Linked DNA regions of Neurospora crassa OR74A. The main gene of each other region encodes a partner of the protein of the gene in region 2 in a complex. Links are inferred from orthologs where the notes say so. Each region holds a gene or a part of one and is shown on either strand. Other genes may lie near its edges. The genes, in order: NCU05305 and NCU06485.

What was found.
Region 1: NCU06485 (region 2) and NCU05305 share a complex: the UniProt entries of both Saccharomyces cerevisiae proteins name them as parts of the RNA polymerase I (Pol I) complex. The link is inferred for Neurospora crassa OR74A from reciprocal best matches to the Saccharomyces cerevisiae genes RPA49 and RPB5.

What each region holds. Positions count from the first base shown.
Region 1 is NC_026504.1:5,393,090-5,401,738, forward strand, and holds NCU05305 (DNA-directed RNA polymerase II polypeptide), read right to left. Parts: upstream 4,750-8,649; 5' UTR 4,508-4,749; coding exon 4,415-4,507; intron 4,319-4,414; coding exon 4,236-4,318; intron 4,118-4,235; coding exon 3,589-4,117; 3' UTR 2,969-3,588; downstream 1-2,968. Other genes in the region: NCU05306 (hypothetical protein), read left to right, coding at 1,431-2,648; NCU05304 (nuclear segregation protein), read left to right, coding at 5,777-5,905, 6,100-7,266, 7,326-7,487. UniProt on the Saccharomyces cerevisiae protein: DNA-dependent RNA polymerases catalyze the transcription of DNA into RNA using the four ribonucleoside triphosphates as substrates.
Region 2 is NC_026503.1:1,580,440-1,589,286, reverse strand, and holds NCU06485 (hypothetical protein), read left to right. Parts: upstream 1-4,575; 5' UTR 4,576-4,648; coding exon 4,649-4,802; intron 4,803-4,875; coding exon 4,876-5,201; intron 5,202-5,254; coding exon 5,255-6,085; 3' UTR 6,086-6,609; downstream 6,610-8,847. Other genes in the region: stk-43 (serine/threonine protein kinase-43), read right to left, coding at 393-1,488, 1,564-1,851, 1,906-1,952, 2,006-2,200, 2,267-2,625, 2,728-2,791. UniProt on the Saccharomyces cerevisiae protein: DNA-dependent RNA polymerases catalyze the transcription of DNA into RNA using the four ribonucleoside triphosphates as substrates. Component of RNA polymerase I (Pol I) which synthesizes ribosomal RNA precursors.

The DNA.
Region 1 (8,649 bases), on a different chromosome or scaffold from region 2:
TGAACTAAGGTAGGTAACGGATAAATATATGTGAACGGTTTGTGACGGTGTGTTTACAGGAAGAGAAAAAAGTAGCTGATATAAGTAGAAGCGCTTTTGGTTGTGTTGTGGAAAAGGAGGGGAAAAAAACAATTAGTTATACGTAGTGTCCGACGTTAAGGTGAAGCATGATGGTGGTCGGTCACTGCACTTTCTGACCAGTTATATAGTTATAATCCTTGGATGGTTCAGACTCGAAAGTACCACTGTTGGGTGACGATTCCATGGTCAGTGTGCCATTCTTTTGTATATCTGGCGTCGATGAGCTCACTGCACATGAAGTCTCTCGGCAGATATCAACTCTAACGAACCAACAACTCGACGTCCGCGGTAGATCGAATTGGTTACTCGCGAAAGGCCATCATCCATGTCCAACCATACCCGTTAACTTGGCCCATACTGTTGAACCATATTTACTTCCATGTAGGTCTCTGGCAAATGCTCCTGTAGAATTTCGAAAGCTACGATGATGTTGTCCGGTAAATCTGAGATTTTAGAGTCCCTGAAATAGACGACGACCAATATCCAACCGTATCCCATGGACCTGGACTAATGGACAACTTTTCGCCAAGGCAGCATTGTACAATATATAGCTTTCTGCTTGGATGCTTAGGTGTGAGAGGGTAGGATTTCCTGTACAAATTATATAAATTGTTAGCGAACACAACACATGATTGGTCCAGAGGTGATCATAGCAAGAACGTCCGCTAGTCGCGCGGTCAAAAGAGAACACCATAATTCTTCCTCCTTGGCATACATCTGAAGAATTTCAAAACTATCAACCTCTTCGAGAAACCTTTCCTGAAACGTGTTGGAGGCTCAGTTCATCCGATTGGGTACCATAGCGTGGCTACACCAAGAGTGCAAGTAAGAACTAGCACCGGGCCGTTCCTTAGCAGAAGGAGACTGACGTGCTTCTTGGAGAGCAGAGTATATGCTGTGTCCCTGGCTTTCTCTCCCAGGTCCTTGCAATAATTCCAAGCTGTTTTTGCAATCAATATCCTATTCGGATACTACCAGTGATAGGAAGGTTTCAGTTTGTTCCAAACGAGCAAACACCTTGATGGCTGTTGACGAATGGAGCAAGTAAACAGCGGGGTAGGCCCGGGCCCGATCGACTCCGTCATCGCAGCGTGGGGTCAGACATGCAGCCGTCATCATAGAGGCACTACTGTAGCTGTTGCCCTACATCAACCCTCTTCATTCCTTCCAATAACTTGCTCCTTCTTCTGGACATCTCAAATCAACATTGCGTCTGCCTTTCAGTTCACCCATTCGACCTCCAATTAACCAGCATCACTGGCAACGTCAACATACGAGGGGCAGACTTCCTTCCACCGAGCAACCTCGCTCAACGCCCACCTGTTTCCAATCACGGACGTCATCGATGAATGGCTAGTAGACTGCCCGTCATCAAGTTGAAGCTCAACATTACCAACAGCTGTTGTCAGAAATCATCACCGCATTCCCAGAGACTCTCTACCATCATCTTTCGTTCTCTGTCGACCAAAGTCCCAAGGCTTCCCGCAACAGCTACCAATCTCGACCAGAAGATCTCCAAAACATCACCACCGCGCTACACCAAACCACCATCCATCAACCGCTGCCTCACCGGCACTACTTCAACCACCTCAACCCCCTCCTCAACAACCGCCACCAAAATGTCCACCTCCACCCCTCAACAATCCAACCGCCAACCACTCCCCTCCACCCCACCCCCCTGGCGCGCCCCCTTTCTCTCCCACCTAACCTCCCTCCCTCCCTCCTCTCGCACCTTCGTTCTCTCCACCCTCCACCCTTTACCCCCTTCCTTATCCTCCACCTCGACCCCGACCCCCGTCTCCTCCACCATCCCCGTCCTCCCCCGCGCCCGCACCTGCGTCTGCCGCAGTCTCTGGGCCCAACTCGAAGCCAACCCGCACAACCCCGCCGAGCTGAACCCTCCCGGCGTGTTCGAAAGCGACATGATCGCCTTCACCACGGACGCCCGCATGGAAAAAGCCGCCGAGATCGTCGACACGGCCTCGGAAGAGCGGATCGAAGCGGGCGGGGAGATGACGGGCGGCGGGGGGCCCGTTGAGGCCGTATTTTGGATTGAGAAGGCTAAAGACGCCCAAACAGGAGAAGACAAAAAAGTGATGACGCAGTGGCGGATCCGTGGATCAGCCTGGCTTTTGGGGCCGGACGTGGACAGTGAAGGGGCCAAGAAGGTGCGGGAGGTGTTGCGGCAGCGGATGCGCAGACTGGAGGGCAAGACACAGGAGGATGAGGAGCAATGGAGCTGGAGCAGGGAGGTTACGGCGCATTTTGGAAATTTGAATCCGGTCATGAGGGGCACGTTTCGCGGGCCGCCGCCGGGACAGCCGGTGGCGTTCCCCCCTGGAAAAGGGGAGGGGTTGGGCCAGGAGGTGGTGGATTTGCAGGATGAGGTAGCCAGAAAGAATTTCAGGGTGGTGGTGATTGTGCCGACCGAGGTGGATCAGGTGGATTTGTCGGATGCGAAGAGGGCGAGGCGGTGGTTGTATTTGTGGAGGGGAAATAGTTATCATGCGAAGGAGGCGGGCGGGGAGGTGCAGGGGGAGTGGGAGAAGGTTGAGGTTTGGCCTTAGAGGGATTGGGATTGGGATTGGTTCGTGATTTGGACTTGAGTGAGTCTTTTAGGTGTGTATTAACAGAGGAATGAATGAATAATTGAACAGTCAACATGCCATGTAACAAACGGATTACAGTGTTGGAGGATAAGTGTCTTGACTTTATGGTAGAGGCTGCGTATAGTTCTGTATTGGTCAATACAATGTCACCAGTCACTGAGTAACTCTTGAGCAATCGAATCAACAGCTCAATAACTCTGATATCTCATGCCCGATTTCAAAAGGGATTGACGAAACTTTCTTTCAGTCAGCATCCAAACACCTGAATGTTGATGATTCAGCCAGGGGCTACTTCTAGCTCAGATAAGCACTCTAATATAGTAGACTCCGTGGTGAATATACCCATTAGCAAACACAGTACCCAACTGCTCTAATCTCTCTTGTCTCAAAATTTCATAATGATAGCTCGGATATTCTCTTGTCGGTATATATCTCAAGCTACTTAGTACAAAAGCCACTCCGTAACGCCTTTCTTTCTTTGTCCTCTTTTGAATTCGAAAGAACAGAAACTGATTTCCCTGTATCCCCCATGATGCTAGAATAGTTAAGAAAAAGAAAAACGCCCAAGTGTTTTGTATTACACAACCGAACCCCTAACCCCTTCCTCCCTGTCCCGCTGGTGGCTGCCGTGCTTTCACTTCTTTCTTGCTTCGCTGCTGGCCGTCATCGTCCCCTTCCCAAGGCTTCTTATCCAGTCCTCGTCCATATAGTCATCAACTGATTCCCACCAGCCAGACCCGCGTTGGCCCGTCGAAGACCGTCCAGAGAACAAATCAAGCCTGGGGAGAGATTGGATGGATTGGTGTAGTGCCCTCCAGCCAGCCAGCCAGCCAGCCAGCCCAGCTTTGCCAACCGCACGCAACCACCCCCTTCTCTCACGCACACACGCTTGCCCCCCTTATACGCAAAGCCTGTAAGAAGCATAGCGACCCGCCGTCTCCGACACACGAATGATCTTGACGACCTGGCCCCTCTTGAGTCCCAGATACCGCGCAATCGGATCCTTGCTCAGAATTCTCGGCAGCTGCGTCTCCTTGAGTCGGTACCGCTTGAGGAGCGCGGCCTTCTCCTCCTTGGACAGCAACACGTGCTTGGGCACGAGCTCGTGGTGCGTGATGTTGACCAGCAGGTCCTCCTCCAGGAAGCACTCGACCTGTGTGTACTGCGAGGTGACGGACATGACCTTGCGGGCCTGGGCAGAAAGCGGGACGGCGGTGATGAAGATGCCGGCTTTGAACTTGTTGTCGGAGCAGTGGGTGACAAATTTCTTCATGACGGACACGCCGATGGAGCCCTTTTCGGTGCAGAACTCGACCCAGATGGTGCCGCATTCGGGAACGGGGTTGGGGTTGGAGGGCGTGGGAGGGGCGGTGAACTTTTTGATCATGGCTTCCGAGGGGCGGGCGGAGAATTGGAGCTTGGCGCGGCTGTGGTTTGGTGTCGTCATGTTAGTCTGGTGGGGAGGTGATAGTGGTTTGAGGTTTGAAATGCGACGCGTAAAGTGGTGGTGATGGAGGGGTGATGGGTGCCGACGCAGGAACTCACTTTGGTGTTCCATCCTCGTTCGTGTATTCAGCCTTGAACCGCTCGAGCGAGATCTTGACTTCGTCTTCCGCCAACTCGTAGCCCTATAGTCGAGAAGCACATGTACATGTCAGAATAGGTCGAATCATTCTGGGCGATGGCGCGTCGAGCAAGCGCCGTGATAAGGATGGATGGCGTACCCTGTCCTGAACCATCTCGTGAACAGTCCTCCAGGCCCTCCACAGACGGGAGACTTCCTTGGAGGCACTGGTGGGGCTGCTGTCGTCCTCCATTTTGACTGTGTGTGTTGGGCAGTCGATTGAAGTGTAGTGTTTGTCGTCGCGGAGTGGTGGTGATGTGGAGGTTGCGCAGGTGAGGTGGTGGTTCGCGATGGTGGATGGCGTGTTGGTGGATTGATAGCTTGGAGGACTTTCCTGTTTACGAGGCTGAAGGACAAAGGCTCTCAAAAAATTGCGGGAAGGGTGGGTGTCGCCGAAAACCAGAGGCGTGGCCGCATTGATCAGACCTAACGCCCGGGCACTCCAGGATTCCACGCCGGCCGATAAGAGATGGATGGGTCCACAGTGAGCCGGAGGCTGCCTTCACCCCTGTGAGACACTACAAGTAAGCGCGCAGATGGTCTGTGCTGTTGACCGTTGACCGGCTTCTGATTCAGGCAGGCAGTTTGTTGAAGTCGTGAAAGACCTAGGAGGAACAGTGATGGCGTGCGCTGGTTTTATGCATGACTGGAAAAGCGGACATACACTTCAAGTTGCGTTTCCGGTACATACATGATAGTACACAAAATTAATTCTCCTCGGCCAACTACCTATATAAACCTCTTCCATGATCCATATATGTTCCATGAGGGACATTGCTGGGCAAAGTGAAGTGAACTTAGTGAAGAGCCAATTCAACCTATCATCATCATCCTCCAACCAACCAACCAACCAACCAACCAACCAACCAGCGCACCATATGTACTTGGTAGGGTAGGTAGTAGCGCACAGGCCAAGACGGTGACACGCGTGACACGGTGTCGGGGAAAGGCCACGATCTGCAGATCTGGAACACGCCTGAAGCGGGACAAATTTTGGAATTTTTTGGAACTGGCGACGGGACTGTGAATTGAGGGTTCAAAGTGACCAAAGTTAGGTTAGTTCCCGTTCAATTGTCAATTTGGATGCGGGCAAAACAGATCAGGCATTGACAGCACCCGCACTACCTAGCCATTGTTCTCCCCAGGGCAGTCTGGACCCCATCTTCCACTACACATCCACATAACCACATCTCAAAGCAGCGATTACCCCAGAGGTACATCCTATCCTACAGGACCCGAACAGCGGTCCTCGGACGTGCACTGCCTTCCACTTCCCATCCTTCCTCAGGTCGCCCGCGGCTGTTCTACACTAAGTAGCTCTCCAACCAACCTACCCACCGGCTCCGACCCACGCCCCCCGGTTGCCTAGTCCCCCTTCCCCGTCTTTATCTTACTATTCCCTTCCTTTCGTCTCTTCTTCCTTCTTCTTTTTTTCCTTCAGCAACCCCCAACACCACACACAATGGCCGAGTCGCAATCCCCCGCTGCCGCCCCTGCGGCCACCACCAAGCCTCACAAGCCTGATCAGGATGCCTTCAACGAGAACCTCGCCAAGGCCGAGAAGGAGTATCAGGAGGCCCTGAAGAAATACGTGAGTCCCCTGCCCTGGCCGCTACCAAGAGCGCATCTACCCGATACCGTGGAGTCAGAGCACCCGCCCTCGCACTCACGATGCACCCTGCCGTCCACGCCACCCTCACCACCACCACGTCTTTTGCTACTAGAAGCTGCTGCCTCCAATTGCCATGTGACAAGGCCAGACTAACCAATTGTCCTTGAATCCAGAACGAGATCAAGGCCAAGGTTGAGCTCGCCGCTCCTAGCAAGAACAAGGACCAGCCCAGCCCCACCCAGAAGAAGCGCCAGGAGCTCATCTCCCAGCTCAACGAGATCCGTCAGCAGCAGGCCGGTGGCAAGAATGCCCGCACCTCCAAGCTCGACCAGATCAAGCGCCTCGATGAGCAGCTCCGCAGCCGCATTGCCGAGCAAAAGACTGCCCGCAGCAAGGTCAACTTCAAGTCCACCGAGGAACTCGACCGCGAGATTGAGCGCCTGGAGAAGGAGGTCAACGGCGGCATGATGAAGCTCGTCGACGAGAAGAAGGCCCTCGCCGAGATCTCCAACCTCCGCAAGCAGCGCAAGAGCTTTGCTGGCTTCGACGATGCCCAGAAGCAGATCGACGACCTCAAGGCCAAGATCAAGGAGATCAAGGACAGCTTGGAGGACCCCGAGGCCAAGGCCCTCAGCGAAAAGTACAACAAGCTCCAGGCCGAGCTTGACGCCATCAAGGCCGAGCAGGACGAGGCCTACAAGAACCTCTCCAGCCTGCGCGACGAGCGCACCAAGCTCCAGCAGCTCCAGTCTGAAAAGTACCAGGCCATCAAGAAGCTCAAGGATGAGTACTACGGCGCTAAGAAGGAGTTCGCCAAGTGGGAGCGTGAGCAGCGCGAGAAGGCTCGCGAGAGACAGCAGGCCGAGCGTGAGCGCATCGCCAAGGAGCGCCGCATGGAGCGTGCCCAGAAGATGCTTGCCGAGGCTTCTGACCCCGCCTACCTCGAGGAGATCCGCCGTGCCAACTCTCTCCTCAAGTACTTCGACCCCAGCCACGAGGTCGCCGAGAAGGCTCCTCTCCTGGCCGACAAGGGTCTCGGTGCCCAGGCTCTTCGTAAGGTTGACGACTCTGGCCTCAAGGGCATGAAGCTCGTCCGCAAGGAGGAGCGTGATGACGACTACCTCCCTGCCGTCAAGAAGGGCAAGAAGTCCAAGAAGCCCACCGGTGCTGCCCCTGTCGCCACCGGCAAGACCTTCAGCCTCCCTCCCTCGGTCATTGAGGACTGCAGCTTCGTCGGTGTCGAGCCCCCCATGGCTGCTACCGATATCCCTGCTGCCGTCGAGAAGATCAAGGCCAAGCTCGAGCAGTGGAAGGCTGACCAGCCTGAGCAGACTCGCAAGGTATGTTGATATTGTTTCGTTCCTGTTGAACTAGCCGTTGCTAACAATGCCGCTTGCAGAACATTGAGAAGGCCAAGAAGGAGATTGAGCGCCTCGAGGCTGAGGAGGCCGGTGAGGCTTCCGGCTCTGCCACCCCCAAGAAGGCCGTCGAGGAGGTCACCGAGGGCGTCAAGAACGCCACCATTGAAGAGAAGACTGAGGCTGTCGAGGCTTCCGCATAGAAGCGCCGCCATCGACGTCACGGATCGTCTCGTTCTCTGACATTTGGGAAGCCATGATTTGAGGGGGACCAGGACTCCGACGAGGTTCAGGTTGCCAGGTTAAGCGGGTATTTGGGTCCTGTCATCCCTCTTTTTCATCCCTACCACTACCGTCCGTTGCCCACAACGACGTCACAGCCGTGTCAGATGTTGTGCGCATCTATCCCGGCACATTATCATTCGCATATATATCGCCGATATTCATCCTTTTTTTTGCCTTAGTGGTTGGTCTCTTCAGTTATCACCACCCTGGTCTGTTCCATCAAATGTTGTTAGCATGCTTTTTGGGGTACAGAAAAGGGGGGAAATGTTCGGGAATTCAAAATACGGGGTGGCATTCTTAACTCAACCTCACCTTCACACGCAAAAGACTTTAATAGCTGGACTCGTCCGAACCTGCTCCCTAACGTATAAGGTATCGAGGTGATGTTTCTGGTGGTTGGTGAACATAAGGGAATCGAAAAACGAAGGACAGCACGCAAACTGAGGTATCGCAGGCCCCGAAACAAAGCACGGCCAGGTGTGGGAGTGGAAGAGACTGGCGGGAACATGTGAAAAGGACTCTTGGGATAGCTTAGATACGAGAGTGGAAAACAAGAGGGACATTGATACCCATCTTCCACACTCGCACTTCCATACCTCCTCCTGACCGTCAAGTGCCATTGGATGTTTGCTTTCATTGACTGCTTGCCTGCCATGTTCCGTCAACCTCAAATACCAACAACCATCATCCTTCCTCGCTTCTCACCGCAACGACAGCTGTCAACGATAAAAGATAGTTACCTTACCTATCCACGAGTGTCAGTGTGTTTAGAAATAGAATCCACTCGCCCGACTGGTCTGCGTTTCCAGCGGAACCCGAATAGCGTAAATCACAACAAACAGTATTGTTACAACCCAAGCAAATAAGCCGAGTGAGAGTAACAGAAAAAAAAAAAAAAAAAAAAAAAAAATTACTCCTGACGTTCTCAAGCACATTGGCACACACAGAGCAGACGGGACACACGCCGATAGCGGCCCAACAAAAAACGTCCCGAGTGTCCCCGTGCACACTGTCCATGTCCGTCCTTTGTCTCTTCCTATCTCTATGCTATCTATTAGGATACACGTAGAAGTACAGACA
Region 2 (8,847 bases):
GCCATATCTCAAGAAGTCTCGTTCCTTTTCCCCTCTCGGATAGCATGCTTGTGCCTCAGAGATGTGGATGAATGGATGAATGGCTGACAAGTGCCTAACCAGGCCGCATGATGTCGTTAGGACTCAGCCTCAATTCAACTGAAACGCACATCCCCGCACCGCCGGGTCATCATCCATCCTTCGACAACGTACAAACGACTTGGGGAAAAACACATCAATCCACATCGCATCAAGTGCCTAACTTGACGAAAGCCACATGGATATCTATCACACATATGCTAACATGAAGCTTAGTCCCTACTATGTCAATAAGCGCCATCACACAGTTACAGAAGTATCATGGGTCGTCAGTCAAATGCCTGGATACTGAACATGTTATCGGCGGTCGGCGGTCAGACTGGACAAGTCCTCCGTCGTTTGCAGTCAGTCAGCTTGAACTCGTTCCGTCTTTTCTCTGCCTCTCGCAGATGAGCTAAAGTTGCTGCGGTTGCGGACGGTTCAGTCATCGATGCATCTTCCTTTGGACGCTCGTCGCTGTGCTGGTTGCTGTTCACTTTGCCATGGATAATTGATTCTTGTGAAAGTGGCGCCAAGGGCGAAGAAGAAAGTTCTGGCAAGTCTGGCGATGGTGGAGTAAACGTGAATGAGGGTAGAGGGGGACGATGTGCTCTGATACCGCCGGCCCCCCATCCTTCGTCCTCGGAGGGATGCGATGGGTCAGAGTCAATCCACAAACCTGGCTGGTGTTGTGGTCTTTGACTAGTCCGCCGGGTTTGAACTGTCAGCGGAGATGAAAACCAGCTTTTGGCGCTTAGTGGGTGATCTGTGTCTTCCTCTTCTCGTTGTTGATGGGCTGATGATAAGGTGTGACACGAAAGGAAAGGAGTCGGGTCCCTCTGAAAGTGTGGCGAAATCTTAGCACTGGCGTCTTCGTCTTCTTCCTCCTCCTCCCCCATAGGCTCTGCCGCCGTACCAAGTTCTTGTTCTCCATTCCCATTATGCGCATCAGTGGTCGCATCGAGCTTTTCGATGAAAGGAGCGAGCCGAATCTTCCTAGGCTCCCACGAAGCTGCATTATCGCCTTCAAGACGTCTGAAGAGACTGTCATCTTCCTCGGGCTCGCATATCCAGGGATGAGTAAGAGCTTGGCGCGCCGTGAGCCGGTGTTTGCTGTTGTAGGTGAGACATCCGCGAATGAAGTCCTTTGCATGGCTTGAGATGTTTTCATCTGGACGGAGGCGGGAGGTTTGAGGGTCAATGGGCTCATTGTCATTGCCGTAGTCTTCATCGCCATCTTGAACAGCAATGTCACAGCCGAGGTCATTGAGGATGATGTTGAGGTAGCGGTCGATTCTGTCTTGGCTGGTAAAATCGAGATGACGAAGATTCGGAAGTTCTTGGAATCCAGAGAAAAGCTGAAGGCAAAGCATCCCAATGGACCAGATGTCGACAGACAATGAATGACCTCGCTCGGAGTTATAGCATTCGCTGAATCAAGCGTTAGCATTGCTCTCAACAATCCAGTGACATATGTCAACCCAGGAGGGGAAGTGCGAAACTCACGGGGCGCGATAGAAGGTTGTTCCAACCTCGGACCTTAATCTTCCACGGTTCGTAACAGCCGAGTCCCCAAAATCGGAGAGAACAAGCCTGTAGGAGACATTTGGCGCTATGGCACAGAGAATATTCTCTGGCTTGATGTCTCGATGTGCGACCCCCTTGTTGTGGATGTAGTCAACAGCATTGAGGGTCTGGCGTATGATCCAGCGTATTTCTAGCTCGGGGAGTGCCCCCTCGCGTGATAGAAGTGAGAAGAGATCGCCACCAGTAGCCAGCTCTGTAAAGATATACCTAGAGATACATTAGTTGCCCAACCCTGCTAGCTGCTCGTGATGAAGGTCTTACACCGAATGCTCTGATTCGAAGGCAGCCTTGATGGAAAGAATATTCGGCTGACGACTTTTGTTAGCTTGATCCATCGTCCCGTGCCCTTTCAATGACTTACGTGATCGAGGTAGCTCAACAGCATTGCCTCCTGCTTGATCCGACGGAGTATCTGGTGTGACCGGGGCCGTCTATCTAAGTTGTGCACTTTGCAAGCCACCTGCTGCCCTGTCAAGACATCTGTGGCTAGGTAGACCACAGCATGGGCACCGTTTCCTAATGTGCGGTCTTCCACAAGGTATCGGTTCTCAAGGAGCTGGATGTTGCTAAGTCAGATCATGGCATGTTTTATTTTCGTCGCACGCCAAGATAACAATAGTACCTTGAGCTCCTCTCGCTGGCGTGCAGTGAGCCGCAAAAACGAAGTTCCCTGCTCGAGCTGAACGAACTTGAAAGTGATGTAAGGATATATGGAGATGACATCCCCATTCTGGAGTAGTCTTCCCGGAGTGATGTCTGGCTTCTTCCCAACGCACTTTTTGTTGAGCAGAGTCCCGTTGGAAGACTGTCGGTCTCGCACAAACACAAGTGATGTATGGCGACCTTCTTCGTCAACAGTGATAGAATACAGCTCAAAGTGGTTTCTTGAGACAGTGGAATCGACAAAGACAACGTCATTATTATCTCGGTCCGTGTCACGACCAATTCTGACTGTCTGGTTTGGCCAGATGTAAAAGCCGCCTGGACTTGCGACACGAAAGTTAGGGAGCACTGGTTGGAGGAGACCAGCGAGGGATACATCACAGTATTCACGATCACTTCAGGGAAATGACAGATACCTACCTCTTGTAGGAGGAGCAGTGCTAGTGTCTTCGAAGGAAACACTTGCCACAGGCGGTTGCGACATATCAAACCAGCTGTCAACACCGAGACACGGAAAACAAAGGATAATGATAATGATAAAGCCGGCAATGTCAACGTTCACTCATGTATGCGTTGATGTCGTCACTTGCGTCCGTAGATAGTGTTGACTATTCATGGCCCACCGTGGCTTTGCGTATTGAGAAGTAGAAGTAGGTAAAGGTTGGGAACGACACTCAGAGTTCAAGATCACAGGACGAGATTGGAAGAGTGAGTTGGTGCCTTGAGGATCGACTCCTCCTTCCCATGTCCAGCTATCGTGAAAATCTTTTTATGCAGACAGGTCGTGCCTTCCTTTGACCTGGACGGGTGCAGCTTGCAAGTGAAGTGAAAGTGCAGTGTCCATTAGTAGGAGCGGGAGGCAGGCTCGCTCGTTGGAGGACGAGACGGGAGTCGATCTCCGAGCCGAGCTTCTGATGCAGTCCAGCTGAAGCTCCCGTCCGTCAGCGGGAGCTTGGGCCACCTAGGGCAAAGGTCGCACCCCGCACGGACCGCATCCAAACAAAGAGCGGCAGGCCTGGGCAATTTGGGCCTGCGTCACCTGACTTACCCCACAGGGCTGCTTGCCCTGGAGCCCTATGAGATAAAAGTTCCCCCTCTCCATTCGCAAGTTGAAACTCTTTCCCATCACCAACAAGCAAAACTCATCTTTAAATCCAAGATGTACGCGCTCCCGCCCCCCAGCATTTGCTTGCCCGCCTACTGACATACAAGCAGTTCAAGATGAGAGCGAAGTGGAGAAAGAAGCGCGTGAGACGCCTTAAGCGCAAGAGAAGAAAGATGAGAGCGAGATCGTAAGTTTCACCATCGGCGCATCGACAGTTGATGCAGCTACAATCGCCACTCAGGAGCATATAAGCTGACTCGATCCCAGCAAATAAACGCCTCGCCTCACTCGACCCAATCAGCTCTTGACATTATCCTCTAAGCCATTAGACAACTTGGGCTCGGTGTCGACTCCTCCCCTCAGCGCGGAATGACGCCACATCGGTCGCTCTGAAACCTTGCGGTGATCAGGCGAACTCAGGGTTCCTACGGAACATGCACCCCTCGGGACATGCTGCACATCAAACTGTGGCACACATAGAACGGAACTGTTTGGTGGCGGATATGGTATTGGCTGGTTGCCTGTCAACTTCATGGTTGAGTAGCAACAAGGTGTTTACGGATCAACGCCGGTGGGAGCAAACTGTCTAGTTTGGAGACGCGAATTCGGGATACCCGTCGCAGCAACAATAAAGGCCGCTTCGCTTCATGATACACTTCTCTGCATCTGTGACAAACGGGACTGCATGTCTTGGATCAATTGTTTCTGTCGACAACATGGTCATCTGCCCTCGAACAGGTGACATGGCATTTGCACACAAAGGGAATACCAATTTTTGCAACATCAGTGAACATTTTCAACGACGGGGAAGGCAGTGGCCTGCATGCACGAGGGCATAGAAATCGCGTCCCAAGCCTTGGTTTGCCTTGTGACTTGGACTGAACCCCTCCATGTCTGGTTGATTGTTTTAGCACGCGTGCGGCTTGCTATTCTTCATCTCTCCAAGCAATTTAACAGCAAACCAATAGCAATTGATTTCATAGCATGAAGATTTCGCGCTTCGTAGTATTTCAACACAAATCATCAAACATATTGCATCGTCGTCATCAAATGTGGTGTGTCGATTGTAAAGGCGGTAACTGATACCGGACCCCGGCAGGCGGCAGAATTTTTTTCTGGCTGCGGGATCCACTCGGAAGTTCAGACAGCGACTCTCCAGCTGCATGATCCATTTGATTTGGCGGGACTTCACGACTCTACACTACCCCAGCACCTTTGTAGCCCGCAAACACCACCATGGGAAGCTCATCAGACAAGAAGCGCAAGAGCGCTGAGGATACAACACCCCAAATCAAGAAGAAGAAGGTCGACTCCGAGAAATCGTCCAAGTCGCCCAAGTTCATCAATGTCGGAGCTGTGAAGAGGCCGCAGTATGCGCCTCCGGTCGTGGGTAAGCACATGTTGATCGGCTGAAACCATGGCCGTCAAGTCCAATGGAGGAAGACTCTAACATGCGCTCCTAGCCGCGACCTCGGGACTCGCTCTCTCTTCGTCCATACAATTTCAAGCCTACGCCACACCAGCCGACAAGACCTCGAAGCGCAAGAAGAATGGCGCGCCCGCACAAGAGTTGCTGCTGCACTCTGCCAACCACCGGACGATGGACTACACAGCTCGCGAAGATAGGACAGGAGACTCGTCCGACCCATACCTGAAGCACTACATTGGCATCTTCAACCCCAAAACCGCCGAGGTTGAGATTGTAGAGGCGCGCAAGATGGTGCTCCGTGGCACAGTTAGGTCGCAGAAGGCGGTTGACGAGGCAATGGAAGAGAAGACTCAGAAACAGGTAAGCCTGGAAGTAGTGGTCAGGGGCATAAAACCAGACTGACGGTGCAACAGCAAATGATGGCCATGAGGAACGAGCTCGGCGAGGCATTCGGTACTAAGAAGGCGAAGAAGGCGATCCGCGACGTGACGGAGAACGCCATTACATCTCAAAAGGTTGGCCAGAGCGAGCTGGTGATGATGGACGCCATCAAGACCGCCACCAAGGACATGTCGACCAAGGAAGACCTTCAAGCCGCTGTCGACAACGCCCGACCGGTACCGCGCGGCAACTTCAATGCCGATGAAATCGCAGACGTCTACGTACCATCCCAAATTATCGGATCCGAGGTCCTGAACGCGATACCAGTGATGGATTGGCAGGAGAGCGTCAAGAACCTAGAAGACATCCAGGTACCTTCGCGCTTTGTCGCCAAGCGCGTTTCCAACGTAGCAAGCAGCGACGACGCGGTGCACAGATTGAGGGTACTGCGGTACCTCTTGTTCGTCATCATTTTCTGGAATGCCACCTCGCAAGGAAGGGAGCGTGGCACAAGAAGCATTGGTAAGAGGGATAAGCTGCGCGAGGTTATGGCACCAGCGCCCGAGATCGTGATTGAAAACATCCGCCGCAAGTTCTCGGACGGCGGAGTCATGCGCAAGACACACGTTGACCTTCTGATGACGCACTGCTGCGCATTTGCCGCCATCATCGACGGCTTCAGGGTCAACACGATTGACTTGAGAGAAGATCTGAAGCTGGAGCAGAAGCAGCTCAACCAATACTTTATCGAGATTGGAGCTCGCGTCAAGCAACAGAAGGTCGCTGACAAGATGGAGAACTTTGCCGTCCTGCAACTGCCTCTTCAGTTTCCCAAGATCAGACTGCCGGCACGGAAGAGGTAAACCACGCTTTGCTGAGCCGGACCCACGGCCACGGATCATATCATCAAGTTTAGTTGGATTGTGCGCATTGCACATCATCCACCCAGTCCTACATTGGACATCTTGGCGCTTACGTTTGGAAGTACCCTACGAAGTGCTGAGAAAAGGCATGCTTTTTGCGAGAGAAGCGATCATCCAGCTCAGTTGGAAGTCTGGCCGCTTCCAGCCTGTAACCACCATGGTGTGTTGTTGAGACACACCCAAGCGACACCCAGGCGCTGGCCAATCAAAATTCCAAGCGCCTAATCGAGAGGAGGCCATGACCTGTACCGCACTATTTGAGCATCTTGCCGAGGTATACATCAGTTATTTTGTGGTTCGGGCAGTAAAAGCTAGGCTAGAAAGCATATATCATTGTATAGACAATGTAGAGAATAGTCATGGAAATTGATGGGCCATAAGAAGTATGGCGGGAAGCTTGTCCCTCAGTCTTTATCAAGCTCTGAATGGGGTCAAAGAGATGACATTGAAATCTAGGAAAAGGGTCACCCCACAAAAAGCTGGCCCCCCTGGGTTCTGGTTCTCAAGTGCCTCAACGCTTGGCCAACCCCTTTGTGTTTGTTTACTACTGATATCCGCACGGACCCAATAACGAAGATGGGAACTGATGACGGGCTTCGAGATGAGTAATGGGGCAGAGATGATCATTAACCTGAACCAGCTAACGCCAGTTGATGTGCAAAATCAGAACCACGAACGTCAAGCTAACATATGTAACAGGAAGAATGTCCGCGGCAAATCCTACGCAGATATCAGAGCAGCCGACGGCCAGGCTAGAAGAAAACAAGATGAAAAGGTAGTTATATGGCTGCCCTGGATGGGCATCCGCCCAGGCGTCACCTTCTACCGTTGTCCCCTTTCGCTGGCCGCTGGCCGCTGGCCGCCCCGCGGTGTGAGACGCCGTCGGTGGTAGGTAGGGCTGGGCCGAAGCCGATCACCCCACGATGAAGTTCCTTCCCCTTGTGCCTCCCCAAAGCGTCCCCGACTTTGTCCGTCCTCCCCGTTTCCCCTGGCCCATTGCCTTGACCATCCCATCGTCCGTGTGCCGGCCGCTGCTTGTGCTTCCCCTCGCTCCAGTCCAGTCCCCTTAAGTTGGACCCCTTGGCGTTGTGCAGAGTGAAGGCGCTTGAGCCGCATTCGAAAGCCACGTGGGGAAAATCCCCACCGAGCGACCAGAGCCAGTGCAGTTTTCCTCACCGGCACCCACCCCGACCAGCTTAAATGGTATGACGACATTGCCTCTTTTAAAGAGCTTTTGGGATCTTCAACTGAGACGCGTCTCACTCTCAACGACCATTTTCCACAGATTATTTTGCTCTCTAAATTGCGGCTTCAATTTTGCATTTACACACTCAATGCACCTTTCCCAATGCTGTCTGATGTCTCTGCTTTCAATCTGAGCAGCCATTCTCTGCAATTTTGTGTTGGTGACAGCGACAATACGAGTGCTCAATTCACGACGCGTCAAAGTTGGGTCGACGGGCGAATTGTCGGGGCAGGGGGTACTTTGCGATTTTTTCTGAGGTGATTCGCAATGCCGGGGCTGGTGCCTGCAGCGCATGGACCAGCTTTTGTGGTCTCTGGGCGTGCTGATTGGCCAGGACGGTGCCAACCAGCGCCTTTCTTCCAGTTCCAGTTTCATTCCAGTTCACAGTTCCGCGAACGACCTACCTGGTAATGAAGGGAACGAACGCGACCGACCGACCGCTGACTGTCCACCTTCTTGCCTCCCGTCTGCCGCACCCCAGGCAGCTCACCACGCTCATTCACTCACCACCTCAACTCCAGTGACACTTCTTTCACGCCAGTCCTAGGTAGTCTTTGCCCCTGCTTCTGGCCTCCCTCCCGTCCTGCCTTCCTTCTGCACAACCTACCTACAATTCACGGCATCTGACCGACTGCACTCGATATCTCCCGCCGAGGTGAAGCTACTTATCCATCCAGCTTCGCGACTTTCAACTATAACGACTGGAGTTTGCTTCAAGTCCTCTCCTCTCGGGAAGTTATGCGCGCGCGCGAGAGGATTTGCACCACACTGCTGCCTCCCTTCACTACTACAACCTCTACATAACATACTAGCTCGGCACCAAGACCGGCACCGCAGTCCGACTTCAACTCCCCAGCGAGCAGTCTAGTCTAGTGCCGGGCGTGTGTTCGCGTGTGTGTGCGTGTCTGCTGCCGTGTGTGTGTGTGTGTATGCATATTGCATTACCCAAAGAAAAAAAAAAAGAAGCATCGTCGCATCAGTCGTCGCATTCTACCAAATCCTCCTACCTGCCCAGTGCCTCTCCTAGATGCCCTTCGACTCTCTGTCTGGCTCTACCTCAATTGCGCCCTTGGATAGGTTTTGCTCTGTCCAAACCTCAAGGCAACTTCGACCTGAACTAAAGTGCTCCGTCGATGCAGCGGTACATCCCACCTCCTGTTAGTCGTCAACCTGACAGCAAGGTGAGAGCCGACCGAGTGTTGACCCAATTTCACCCCCCCACGGCACCTAGGTCCATACCAGACAGAACATAAATCTGTATGTGGCTCTCTTTTTTTCTGGTTGTTCAGTTGCCTCTTTCCATCCCGTCCCTTTGCTCCCACTTCCCATTGCTTCCCTTGACCTGTTGACGCATCCTGTTTTGCTCTGCACGGCACACACGGACCTAACACGACTTATTCATGCAGGCTGCTAGATATTGAATAGCTGTTATCAATAAACATCGCATCGAAATAGC